Linked DNA regions of Rhinolophus ferrumequinum. The protein of the gene in region 1 interacts with the protein of each later gene in a biochemical or structural test. Links are inferred from orthologs where the notes say so. Each region holds a gene or a part of one and is shown on either strand. Other genes may lie near its edges.

What was found. The genes of interacting proteins can lie anywhere in the genome.
Region 2: the proteins of NHERF1 (region 1) and TBC1D10A form a complex in vitro, tested with the Homo sapiens proteins (2 studies listed by BioGRID and IntAct). The link is inferred for Rhinolophus ferrumequinum from reciprocal best matches to the Homo sapiens genes NHERF1 and TBC1D10A.

Annotation. Positions count from the first base shown.
Region 1 is NC_046304.1:49,904,099-49,911,025, forward strand, and holds the start of NHERF1 (Na(+)/H(+) exchange regulatory cofactor NHE-RF1), read left to right. Parts: upstream 1-2,803; 5' UTR 2,804-3,042; coding exon 3,043-3,504; intron 3,505-6,927. Other genes in the region: RAB37 (ras-related protein Rab-37), read left to right, coding at 137-242. UniProt on the Homo sapiens protein: Scaffold protein that connects plasma membrane proteins with members of the ezrin/moesin/radixin family and thereby helps to link them to the actin cytoskeleton and to regulate their surface expression. Necessary for recycling of internalized ADRB2.
Region 2 is NC_046308.1:19,521,368-19,528,294, reverse strand, and holds the start of TBC1D10A (TBC1 domain family member 10A), read left to right. Parts: upstream 1-3,014; 5' UTR 3,015-3,116; coding exon 3,117-3,325; intron 3,326-6,927.

The sequences.
Region 1 (6,927 bases):
CCCAGCATGGCCTGGCTGCCGGCCCAGCCCCCAACTGCATTCTGTATTTTGAGGACCATTTGCCCTGGGCCACGGGAGTGGAGAGGATGCTCAGCTCCTCACTCCCTGCCCAGCCCATTGCTTCTTCCTCTTCAAGGGAGCTGAAATACAGAGCCAGGCAACAGGCTGATGAACCCAGCTTCCAGATCCGAGACTATGTGGAGTCCCAGAAGAAGCGCCCCAGCTGCTGCTCCTTCTTGTGAATCCCAAGGGGCTGAGAGAAGGTTCCAGAAGCCCACGAGGATACAGCCTGCTCCCCCAAATCGGATTGGTTCTGAGCAGCTGAGCCAATGGGGAGAGAGTTGGGGGGATCCAGGGCACAACCCCTTCCCAAGAGGGGGCTATACTCCCACCCCTACCCTAGTTCCTGTAGCTTCTCTGCATCCCCAGGGAGGGTAAAATATTTATATTTCATTTCAATGATAAATAATGTAATACAAAAAAAAAGGCACCAGAAAACCGAGATAGGGACCTGGTAGCCCTTTTGCCTTCTAGTATATACTAGGAGTCTGTGGGTGCTGGGCCTCCCTTCTAGCTGTGATGAGAGTGGCATTGCTCCAGTTGACTACCAGGGGCCCTGATGCACTTTGGGGGCGTGAGGGCAGGCAGTGTGCCCCGGCTCCCACCCTCACTTCAGCTGGAGGGAGGCTGAGCAGACCCCGGCCTTCATTTCCTCTAGCTCTCCAGGGACAATCTTCCCCATAGGATGGGCCCTTGTGCCAGGAGCTAGACCAAAGCTTATCTCTTATCAGGGAAGATAAGAAATGTGGAGATTGGGCTGGGGCCCAGCTCCCAGGGAGGGGGAGAGTGGAGTAGCGGAGATTGGGTCTGGCTGGCTACCTCTGGCATTCCAACCCCCCCCCCCAGAGGTGTACCCCTTTTCCTTCAGCCCACAATCACATTGGGGTACCTGGAAACATTCGGTTCCCATTCTCTGGCCCTCAGATCCAGGGGAGCCCCTCCTTCCTTAATCCCTTCTCTCACCTGCCTTCCTGTCTCTGCCCCTAGATACCTAAGGTCACAGCAAGGGAAAGGTTATTCCTGTCCCAACCCTTTGGCAGGTATGCAGCCCACAGGCTACTTTTTCAAAAAGCTGAGGTGCCAGATAAAGAAAAACCTCTGACTCCTGGAGCAGGTGGGAAGCAAACCTCACCCCACGTGTATCAAGTGCTGCCTCTCCCCTGACCACCAACACCCTTTTCTTCTGCGACAGACACCAGAGCCCAAACTGCTTTATCTCCCCTCCTATTGGGCCAAGTTAGGGAATGAGAAGTCATCCATTTTCTGGATAAATCAACGTGATGTGCGTGATACGTGCAAAACAAGGTCATGTGGGTAAGACTGGGGTGAGGAGAGGGGCAGCAATGAGTTTTTGTGGGGCCAAGGTCACATGGCTCCCAGAACCCTGACCCCAGACACCAGAAGGGGACAAGAGACGTGCATGTTATGACCAGAGGCACTTTCACTCCAGCTCTTCCAGGCTACGGGTGGGGGAAGGAGCAAGAAAGAGGTATGCACTGCACATTTCTGAGGCTACTGCATTTGCTTTCAAGGCAGAAATCTTGCTGTCTGAGCAGAGTCAGCAGCTCCTACTTGGGCCAGATAAGGAAGCTCTCCTAGGCCTCTCCCAGGCAGAGCAAGGAGGAGCCTGACCTTGCCCAAGGCAGGTCGCAAGGGGTCCAATCACATAGGCTGCTCTGGGCCTCTAGCATTTGTGTTCTTCAGAATTAAACTGCAGTTTGGAAAGTACACCCTGTCCACTGCTTCTTTGAGATGTGCATGGGGGAGGGGGGATCATGTTGAAAGGATTGTTAGTGCATGTTGGAGGCACTGTCACTGACTGCCAAAATCATTTGATCCTCGTCCTTCAGTGTTCCCAACTGGTCACCTCACCCTTAACAGACTGCCCCCCAGACTCTGTGACCAGCCTTTCATCTGGAAGGAGCTTAAAGGCTTATCTTAAGGTCCTAATCATTTTTTTTCTTTTTCTATTGAAGGAAGCCTGGGCCCTTTTCCCTGTAGACTGTATCCAGAGATTGGTTACCTGACTCTGTTCTGCCTCTCCCCACCCCAACTCCCTAGCCAGACGCTGACGCCAATGCCCAGGCCATTGCCCTAGGTGGCCTGTCCTCAGTGGACAGACCCTGCAAATTCTCGGGCTCTCTGCTGAGCCTTCACACTGTCCCAGTGAGGATCAGAGCACGCCCCCTCCCCCCCATAAGCAGGTCCTGAGACAGCACAAAATGACTCCACAAACGGGAAAATGTTGTTATCCAAACAACTCTGTTGGGTCCGAGGTAGACCTCAGTGTTATTCTTAAGACCGCTGGAAACCTCGTAGCCCCAGACCCGGAGCGGTTTCCCCGGCAACGTTCGCCCCTCCACCCCCGCATTGGGGCTGCACACTAGGTTTTGGCTCAAGGCTGTTGAAACTTTAGAGTCCTTTACCCACCGGTTTGCTCTCCTCAATTCCCGCCACTAGTGGGGGAAAATCAGAACCCAGCCAGCGGGCCCGTCTACCCAGAATCTGGAACTCGCCCCGCCCCCCGCCTCAACTCCGGCCACTTGGTAACAAACACTTCCACTTCCTGAGCCCTTTCTTCTCCCGCCGCGGGGCGCCGGGCCGAGCGCAGGGCACCGCCCCTGCGCGTTCCCATTGGCCGGCGTCGTTCACCCGGCCAGAGCTCCCCCTGCCCGTGGTCCCTGATTGGTCCGAGGTGGTCCACACCCTCGGCGCGGCCCCGCCTCCTAAATAAGGTCCGGGGCGGGTTCTGGGACGCTCAGACGCCGCGCGGGACGGGGATTGGTCTACGAGTTATTTTTTTGGCTCCTCGCAGTTCACTGCTGCGGCTCGCGGGACACCTGCTCGTTCTGCCGGCGCGGAGATTTGTGGCCGCGCTCCCTCCAGCCTCGCAGTCCGCAGGGCTGGGAAAAGGACTGGACCGTGCAGTCTTCGGACCCCTACCGGACCCTGCGTAGCGCCGCTGAGCCATCGTAGAGCGAGATGAGCTCTGACGCGGCGGCCGGGGCACCCCTGCCCCGGCTCTGCTGCCTGGAGAAGGGTCCGAACGGCTATGGCTTCCATCTGCACGGGGAGAAGGGCAAGGTGGGCCAGTTCATCCGGCTGGTAGAACCCGGCTCGCCGGCCGAGAGGGCGGGGCTGCTGGCGGGAGACCGGCTGGTGGAGGTGAACGGAGAGAACGTGGAGAAGGAGACGCATCAGCAAGTGGTGAGCCGCATCCGCGCGGCGCTCAATGCGGTGCGTCTGCTGGTGGTCGATCCCGAGACCGACGAGCGGCTGCAGAAGCTGGGCGTCCAGGTCCGGGAAGAGTTGCTGCGCGTCCAGGAAGGGCCCAGGCAGGCCGAGCCTCCGGCCGCCGCCGAGACACAGGAGGCTGGCGGCGAAAATGAGCCGCAGGCCGCCGCTCAGGAACCGCGTGAAGCCGAGAAGAGCCATCCCGAGCGGGTAAGTGCGGGCTGGGCCGGGCGGCGAGGCTGGAACGGCGTGGGAGGGAAGGATGGGGGAGAGACCCAAGCGCCCCGCGCCCGCCTTGTCTTTCTGAAACTCGATCCTCGAGGGGGAGACTGCTTCCGCCCGCCTACCGGGCTCACTGGCAGTTACAGGCTTGGGGCTGCGTCCCACGACCCCCACCCCCTCTCCAGACTCGCTTGGACTCTGAGCTTCTTTGCCACCTGCACCTCTTGTCCCTTGGCCTTTGGAAGTGAGGGAAGGGAGGGCGACTCAGGGAAATCCAGTCCCCGTTTCCTCGGCTCTGTTGGTGGTGTCTGCTCTCGTTTTTTCGCAATCCTCTAGTCCCACCCTCTCCGGGCCGGTTCTTCGGCTATCCTACTTCTAGCCGCCGCATAGTTGCCAGCTTCCTCCACGGTCCCTGTGGGTGGTAACAGAAGCTGGGGTAAAGTGAGTGCGGCCCCGACTTCAAAAAGCTAGAGGAATAACAACTCCCTTTCTGTGCGGAACCCTGGCGCTGGGAGGGCAGGGGTCGCAGGCAGGGTTTTACCCTCCAGCCCACGGGTGTGTGTATCCTTAACTTCATCTTCAGCCCGGCTGGACTTCATCCTCTTCCTGAAGTCCAGTGTGACTTCTAAGAAAGACAGAGGAAGCCCCACCGTCTTAGGGCGAAGTGGGGGGTGGGGTGCGGGGAGGAGGTGCAGAGGCCTCTCGGGGGTGGTGGCGGCGGCGGCGGCTCTGCCGCCCAGGAGGATTTATGATTCTCAGGAATGTGAGGAGTAAGCGCTAGCTTGTGTCGGCGGGGAGGGAGGATCTTGAAGGAGGAGAAAGGTGGCTGAGGGGGAAGGAGGAGAGGGAGTGGTCCCGGGGCACGCAGCTCTGCAGGGGCCAGCGGAGCATGCTGTGGGCAGGTGGTCTTGCCCTGGCATCGTCTGACTCACTCCAGTGCCCCGACAGCCAAGCAGGCTGGTTGCTTTTTGCCCATGTTTGGTTTTTCCCTAAACGATCCCAGTTTGGGTCAGCTGCAGGAGGAGCAGAGGCAAAACAAGTTGTGCTGAGCCTCCTGTCCCCAGAGAGTGAAGGGGGAGGTCTTGGTGCAGACTGTGGGAGCAGGGCCTATATGGCTTGCAGCAGCTCTCCACCTGGTGGCAGTGTGTGGCGCAGGTGTCTGGTGCCAGCAGGAGCCTCCCCTAGACAGAGAAAGGGTACAGTTTAGCATTAAGGTAGAAGGTGGAGCCGGAGAGGACCAACTGGTTCGGTGGAAGTGAAGGAAGTGAGGTCACTAGGAGCCCTGTCCAGCCGGAGCTCCTAGTGCCCGGAATGCCAGGGCCTCCAGGCTCCCACTTCCTGCCATTGCCAAGCCGGCATTGGCAAGGGTGGGGCAGGAGTCAAAGCATCCCTGCCAGGGGTCAGAGACTAGGGAGTTGGTCCCGGGCAGAAATACAGTTTGAACTTTGTGCTGAGGGCATTGATTTGCCATTCTTTTATTTTTTTGAACTTTGGCACTCACACAAGTAGCACACCCCCTCCCCCAGCAGTTGCATCATGTTCAGCTCCTCCCATTGCCCTTTTGGTTTTGCTGCTGGGTGCCAGAGGGCCTGGGGGGGGTGGTAGAGGACCTAGCACATGCGCCACCCCCATCTGAAAGGACAGCAACGCTTGGCTTCCTGCTGTCAGGATGAGCACAGAATCAGATTCCCATAGGTGGTGGTATGACACCTGCATTTGTGTGTGCTTTGTTAGGCCAGCAGAAGGGAGTAGAACCACTCCTACCCAGTCCCCCTGTCCCAGGGACACAGTCGCCAGGCCTCTTGGGGTTTCAGGTCAACAAGCAAATCACAGAACTTCTTTGAGACTTGGTTCTCCCATATGTAAAATGGGGACCTTGGAATACAGTGATACCTACCTTCTCTAGAATTTTATAAATAACAGAAGTACTCATGCCCCTATGGAATACTGAATTGAGTTCCTTTATGTCCAGGCATTTGAATCCCAGCTCTGTGCAGCGCGCCACCCCCCCTGCCTTTAGAGTTATGCATAGCCAGTCAGTACTGTTAAATCCCTCTTGTAGGAAATTGCCATGAAATCTGGGCATGCAGGTGACCTGCCTTGACATTGCAAAACAATGGTAATATCGTGTTATTTTTTTCCTCAAAGGCCTCTCCTACGTAAAGCACTTCATGGTTTACTGATTAGTTGTAGCCTGAATTTGTTTGCAAAGTGGGTGCTGTTAAGGCATCTTCATTAGTCCTCATAAGTGAAAAAGGTGGTATGGGGGAAAGTGCTCTGCAGATTGTGGGTGGCAGGTGACAGCTCATTGGGAGGACGATACAGGGCAGAGGGCAAGGGGTGCCTGTAGTACTGGTCTAGGAGGAAGAGGAGGTGTACTTCCAGCTCTGCCCACCTTTGTCGATGGCTTCCCCACCTCCACACCCATGGGGAGAGAGCAGTAGCAGCTCCCTGGCTCATAACCTTGCAGTCACAGGATGGGATCTAAACCCGTGAGCTTGGTGCTTGGCACATGGGCCCACAGTGGTGGCTGGGCAGGCCTAAGCCAGCTCAGCTGTATTCACTGGGCCACCTCAAGCCAAGTTCCTTAACCTCTCTAAGCCTCCATTTCCTCTTGTGTAAGTTGGGGGCCATAGCAGCTGCCTGGTGGGTTTATCGGGATTACACGAGGCTGTCTGCAAAGCTCAGTGTCTGGTACTCAGTAAGTGCCCGGTATTTGAATTAAATATTTCACAGTGATTGTTACACACCTATCCATGGGGCAAGTAGCACTGGAGCTGCCTCCCTCCTTAGGCAGGTGCAGCTGTGACCACGCCTGGCACTCAGTACATGCTCAATCAGGGCTCGCTATTGTGGAATAACCATATATTCCACGGCCCTTCACTATCTGGCAGCCGACTCTCCCCACCTCCCCCTTGTGCCTACCCCACCGCACCGAGGGTCCAAATTCTCCTCTAGCACACCGTATTCACTCAGTCTTTGTCCCTCCCTTCCTGACCTCCCTCAGCCGGAGAACCCGTCAGCCCCCCTCTCCACTGGGCACTCTCTCCAAGACCTCTCACCTCCCAAGGAGACTGTCCCCGCCGCCTCCTCCTGCTCCCTGTCCTTACATCTTTTATTGCTCTGAACACACGGTATTTGAATCATCTCTTTATTATCTCCATCACTGCATGGAGAGTTCCCCAGGGCAACCACTGTGGCTGATTTGTGTTTATATCGCCAGCACTGTGCCTGGCACAGAGCAGGGAGGGGCTCAGTAACATTTTTGAAATGAATGCATAATAGCCACCCGGGACCTTTGTCCTAAATCATCTCAGTCCAGCACACCCAGGCCTCATTACGACTCAAGCACACCCAGAGGTCGGAATTCCAGACAGAACCTACCCACTCCTTTTTCTTGCCCATGAGCGG
Region 2 (6,927 bases), on another chromosome or scaffold:
CCTGCTTCTCTTGCAAGGGCTCTGCACTTGCTGCCCTGCTTCCCACACTCTAATTCTCCCAGGTCCCCACAGAAAGGCTTCCTCATTTCCATCTACTCCCCCCTCCCAGGCCCCATCTTTGCTCCTGGCATTCTCTATACCTTACCCTACTTTATTTTCCTTTTCACATTATCTGACAAATGTTCTAAGCTTGTTCATGTTCTCTCTCCTCCCCTGGAACATAAACTTTTCTGGGCCAGGACTTCATCTCTTTTGTTCACACTCAATATCAAATAAAGAGCTCTGGAGTTTGAAGTAAAGAAACCTCACATTTATTGAGTGTCTACTATGGGCTGGAAGCTTCAGAGATACAGCTTGTTGACTTCAAGTAATTTTTGACATTCCTAGTTTTCAGAAGAGGAAATGGGTTCTGAGAAGTTAACAATTTTGCACAAGAACATCCAGTTATTGAGGGAGCACAGACATGAAATGAGGACTCCCAAGCCATTGGTTAAATTAGGTGAACAACTCTGCTGCAACCACAGGCTGTGGTGGGAAATACACACAAGATGATAATGAATTTGCAAGTGCTTTACAAACTACAAATGCCACCACCCCTGGCTTCTATTTACTGGGTGTCTCCATGTACCAGATGCTTAGCCCACATTATCAAACACAAGTCTCAGAACAACTCCTCCAAAGGGGTATTTTTTCAGTATTTCTATTTTGCAGATGAGGGAATGGGCTCAGAGAAAAGTGATTTGTTCACTGTCACACAGTGACAGAGCAGAGATTTGAGTCCTGGGTGGTCTTATGTAAGAAAATTAAAAGCCGGGGGGCATCAAGGCCTTAACTTGAGAAACAGCTACCCGGTCTCCCAAAAAACGTCCCTCTACCCTTCTCCCAACCCCACCCCAAATATCCCAGGGTGAACATCGCTGTACATGTGCCCTTGCAGAGCTGAACGTGTTTGGGATATGACCCTATGACCAGAATTATGGAGTCAAAGGATGCGGATACTTTGCCAGGCTTGGAGCTTCGTATCTGCTCCAGGTGTATCTGGCTCCTGGAGCTCTTTTCTTGGGATAGGCCTACAGCTTGCTGAGAAGCTCACTCTGCCCCTCCTGGGAGCTGGGACTAAGAGCCCACTACTATGTCTGGAACCACTAGAGAGGAGGAACGTCCTCCCAGACAGAGTTTACGACCAAAATAGCCTGTGCCCACTCCCATGTCCGTCGTTGCCCTGTTTATGGAAAACCAGAAGCCAATGGAATGTGAAAACTGCACAGCAAAGTCTTCAAGAATGTCTAGGCCATGTGGCTGGTAAAATCACTGAAATCTTAAAACCAACTTCTTGGGGCTTGCTTTGGGCTCCTTAGAAACCTGTCCCAGGCCCTGCAGCTCAGGCCTGGCTCTTTCAGTCCCTTCCCCTCTCTGGGCCTATCTCCCCCACAGGTCTACAAGAGAGTGTCACCTGACAAGATGGTTGTGACTTGTAAACTCTAAAGCACTGGACTTAAGTGAGGAACTATCATATGGCTCCAAGTATTGATAATCCCGGGGTCAGAAGTAGGCTGCTGGGAGCTGAGTCTGTGTGGATGCAATTGGCCTGTGCCTCCCAATATAAGCTGTTGGTAAGAGCTAGATTCAAATCCTGGCTCTGCCATAAGCTAGTTCTGAGATCCTAGGCACCGGACTTCACTTCCCTGTACCTCACTTTCCTTAACTATAAAATCAGGCTAGTAATAGTATCTACCTTGTTGTGCTAAAAGATTACAAGAGATGGTGTGACCAATTTGGAAAACAGTTTGCCAGTTCCTCAAAAGGTTTAACAGTTACATATTACCCAGAAATTCCCACTCCTAGGTATTTACACAAGAGAAATGAAAATATATGTCCACACAAATGCTTGTACCTGAATGTTCATAGCAGCATTGGCTGCTATGTGGAAATAGTCCCAAAATAGAAACAACCCAAAGTGGAAACAACCCAAATGACTATCCCTGGCAAATGGACAAATAAAATGTGGTCTATACGTACAATGGAATATTATTCAATCATAAAAAGAAATGAAGTATTGACATATGCTACAACATGAATGAACCTTGAAAACGCTATGCTAATTGAAATAAGCGAGACACACAAAGGCCACACAATCATATGGTTCCTTTTATATGAAATGTCCAGAAAAGGCAAACTGTAGAGACAGAAAGCAGATTAGTGGTTGCCAGGGACTGGGGGAGGAATGTTGGTGAGTGACTGCTAATAGATAGGAATTTCTTTTTGGGGTGTTGAGAATGTTCCCAAATTAGATTATGGTGATGGGTGCACAACTCTATAAATATGCTTAAAACCATTGAATTACAAACTTTAAACGGGTGATTTTTATGGTATGTTGATTATATTTCAGACCTGTTGGGAAGAAAAAGATTACAAGAAGTAGGTAGAACTTGGGGCAGTGAATAGCTCAATAAACGTTGGTTATTATTCTTATTAATTAGGTCTCCCACGAGCTAATTTAAAGCCCCAGAAGCAGTAAGCGGGAGTGGGGGGTGGGGGTAAGAGGGTGAGGGGGAAGGTCTGAGGAACTTCTAGGTCAGCCTGGGTCTTTAAGCCTCTGTTCCTGGGCGAATCCCCGAACCATCCGGAGTCTCCTCAGAGCTCCTCATAAGTGAATGGATGAAATAATCCCCACCAATGTTCTTGGGGTCTCGCGAGGAGCGGCTCAGGAGGAAGATGCGGAATCTCCGGCGGACGCCTCGGTCCGCCTCTGCCTGCTTGGCGTTGCAGGTGACAGGCCCAGCTCGAGCTAACCCGGAAAGGCCAGAGCTCTTTCAGGTGAGCTCTCGTGATTGGCAGCCCTGGGGGGGAGGGCTCCGGGTGACGGCTGCTCCGCCCCCTCACGTCGGGCCAGTTGGCGCCATTCTGAGGAAGGTGGGAGGGCCCCTGGGTCCGCGGCGCCCATTGGGCGTAGGGGGGAGCTCCCGGGAGGGCCTAGGGTCCCGCCCCCAGTCTTGCGGCTGCCAATGGGCACGGCGAGTGGGCGGGGCGTCGGCGGCGTCGGCGGTGGCTGGGCGGCTGAGGCGGCTGAGGTGGCTGAGGTGGCCGCTGAAGCTGAGGCGGCGGGCGCGGCCGGGATGGCGAAGAGCCCTGGAGAGAACGGGCCTCGCGCGCCCGCGGCCGGGGGAAGCCTATCTGGGACCCGGGAGAGCCTGGCCCCGGGTCCGGACGCCGCAACCGCCGACGAGGTCAGCTCTCTAGGCTCCGACTCAGAGGCCAACGGCTTCGCCGACCGCCGCATCGACAAGTTCGGCTTCATCGTGGGCTCGCAGGGCGCGGAGGGCGCGTGAGTAGCACCGAGGCTCGGGGCCCTGGGCCGGGGCCGGGCGTGGGACCCGCGGGGGGAGGGCTCGACGTGGACAGCGCCCTCGGGACGGACAGACATGCCCCCAGCCCAACCAGAGACAACCGACCCCTTCTCTCCCCTGCCCCCCCATCTCCCCCAGACAGACTGACCTGCCCCTCACCCGCGAGCCTACTTCCGACCGAGGCACAGACAGGCCAAATCCAGCTTCCTTCTGCCCTCACCATCCATCCAGTGGTGGCCCCCCCAGGAAAGGCCGACCGACAGTGCCCTCCTCCCAGCTGTGGGACAGACACTTGTTCCAACATCATTGCTGCCACCCTGGCATTGGGGCTGATTGACTTTGCCACCTCCTGACAGGCTCACAGATGGCTGCCCCTCCCCCAACAGACAGATATTCTCTATACCCCCCCCCCACGAGACCCACAGACGCCCTTGTCTTATTAACCCCATTAAATAACCCCTGGTGTGGTGTCCCCACACCAGGGGACACCTTAGGCAGGCTTCAAAGGGACAGACTATCCTGTGCCCACCCCACTCCAGGATAGACTGACCCTTACGTCAAGACACACCTCTGGATGGACTGATATTGGTCAACTAACGTATGGACAGCCCCCCTGGGACACACAGCCCCTTCGCCACACAGAAGGATCAGAAGTGCTTCCCTCCCCCTTCAAAGGCCGATTTCTCCCTGTCACTGGCAACAGGTGGGCAGACACTCCCCCTTCCCAGTGTCCACAAGGCGAGAGTGCCTCCCCTCCAGGACAGGCTGTCTGCTGTTTCTGTGTATGCTCTGGAAATGTGGACTTCTTCCCAAAACTCAGACTGGAGAGGAGGGGCCGGCGGGGAGACAGCAGGGTTGAAATCGCCTACCCCCAGAGCACCCAGGCACTCAGCAGGCAGAGAAATGTGAGCGGTGGCATGGCACCTTCCCTCCACGCTGGGAACAGTGGGCAGCCTTATTCTGCCCCCACAGGATCCCCTGAGCCCAGTCCTCGCAGAGATCATAGTGTGGGCTAGTGGTCCCCTCAGGAAAGAGGGACTCCAGACCCCTCTCCCACCCTGTCCTGTCACAGGAGACCAGTGCTCTGCACTGAACTGAAGCCTCCCTCCTGATGTGCCTCCACTTCGACAGAGATAGCCCCCCACAGTCACCTGGGGGGCCCCACAGTACTCAGCCATGACCCTTCTCCAGAGGGTCCTTCCTCCCCTTCTCTGACCAGTTGTAACTGCCCAGGGCTCCTCCAGCCTCTTCTGACTTAGGGAAGTGTAAGAGTCCCAGCCCACACAAGCAGCCCCATCAAGGTCACTTCCGGGATTTTCCCCAGTCTCAAAGCTTCGTATTCACCAGGCCTCCTCCTCTGGAGAAATGCAGGCCCCTTCCTTAAGGAGAGTTCATTCCTACTGGATCTGTGTCCTCCGACCTCTTCCCACTTGCTCACGACCACTAGGCCTAGCCCAGTCCAGCACTCAGAGAACACCTCTTATTCTGATCCCTCATCCTGACTTGACGCGTTGTCAGATTCCCTAGAGATTAGCTTGTGAGAACCCAAAGGGGATTTAAGGTATATTTGTGAATTGAGGAGTAGTCACCAGGGACCAGAACCCTGGGAGGGATCGGGTGTTGAGAAGTGGGAAAGGAGTTCCCAGTTGCATTTGTGGGTTCTTGGAAGGAAGAGCTCAGATTTGTTGGTGAATTCTAGGAGGTAAGAATTCCTACTACATGTTTATAAGGCAGTTAACTAGATCTCGGGGTACAGAGCAGTGTGATATAGAGGAAGAAGTCTAGATGTAGGAAGAACTCACACTTGCTGGCTGTGTGACCTTGGGCAAGATGCTGAATCTCTGAGCCTGTTTATTCACTTTAAATGGAAATAATAACACCTATTCCCAAGATTACTGTGGAGATTAAATAAGATCAGGTATGCAAAGGTGCCTCACACAGTGCTTGGCACAAGTAGTGGCCCAGAAAACATTAGTTTCCTTTCTTTTCCTTCTAAGGGTCTGAAAATTGAGGAGAAAAATGAGGGCGTACCTCTGGTATTTGTGGACAGAGAGAGGCCCCAGTGGGAGCACCTCCCTTTGGCTGTAGTCCCCAACCAGGCTGCCAGACATCTGTCTTCCCCACCCTCCAACCACAAAGGCCGTGGACACCCTCTGCATCACTCGTGTCCATAGCGCTGGGGCTGAGGTGGGGTCCCAGGTCCCCTCCTCACTCCCTGCCTCATTTTCTTGACCCTGTTAGTCAACCTAAAATCTCTGGTTCTGAAAGCATTGTTGTCTCCTGCTTACTTTATATTGTGGTTCCAAAAAAACCAAAAGTAAGTCGCTGCCCATGACCATGAGAGGGGAAGTTATGGGAAGTTTCAGGGTGATTGCCCTGAACCCAGTCTCGTGGTCGAAGTCTAGGAGTCCATGTGCTATCCCAGAGAAGTGAAACATTAGCACTGATGGCTGCAGTGGAGATGGCAGGGACTCTGGCTCCAGATGAAAGGTCCATTTCAGCCATGCTGGGCCAAAGATTGTCTCAAGATGGTCAGTTTTGGCAGATGCCAGGGGCTGGGGGGATGGGGAAGAAAGCAGGACAGAGGCTACCCGCTCAGGTGACTGTTAGGTGCCTGGCATGAGTAGATCGTAAAATCAAAGACTGAGCTGAGCTGGAAGAGATCTTAAGAGATTGATCAGCTTAGCCCTTACTTATTATACAGATGAGGAAACCGAGGCCCAGAGAGCAGAATAACTTGCTTAAGATCACACAGCATATTAGTAGCAGAAGCAAGACTTGAACCCAGGGTGTCTGACTCCCAAGGTCAGGACAGTTTCCACTGCCTTCACCATTCATTAACGGCCTATGGTCCCAGCATAAAATCAGGTGCTGGACAGTAGAACAGAAGGTTTCCTAACAGGAAGCTGCCCAGCCTCACCTTCCCTGGCTTAGCTCAGCACTTTTGACTCCCTCAGAAGTGGAGGAGTCTAACAGGGACGGCCCAGCAGGGGTAAGAGTGTGTCGTCTTTACCAGTTCATTAGACTGATCAGCTTCAGGGCAGGGGCCAGACTTGTTCAGCTTTTCTCCTCAGGCCTACAGCAAAGTAAATGCTCAATTAATACTTATTTACTGAATGACATTTACTGACAAATATTTCAAATCAGAAAGCTGAAAGTGACCTTAGTGGCCGTCATCTTACAGATAGGTAAACTGAGACCTGAGAGAAGTGATTAGCCTTACCTCTTCAGTCTATTAGGAGCAACGTCAGGAATTGAACCCAGAACTCCTGATTGCCAGCCCTCTAGGCCCTTTTTGCCTCTTCACCTTGTCTGTCTTTTGAGCCTACTCTGCAGGGAACCTTTGATGGGACTGAGATGGTCACTCCCTGATCTTGAGCATTAGCCAGTAAGTGGGAAAAGGCAAGAAAGCAGCCAGCCAGCAAAGGATCCTGTGGGTGGCATGGGCACAGACAAGGGTGCTGGCCATGCTAGTTCCTTTGGCTTAGCTGAGAACTGAGCTGGTTGTTGAAGCCCAGGAAGGACCAGAGGAGGAGAAAACAGTGTCCTGAGCAGGAAAAGGTACAAGGAGAGATGTTAC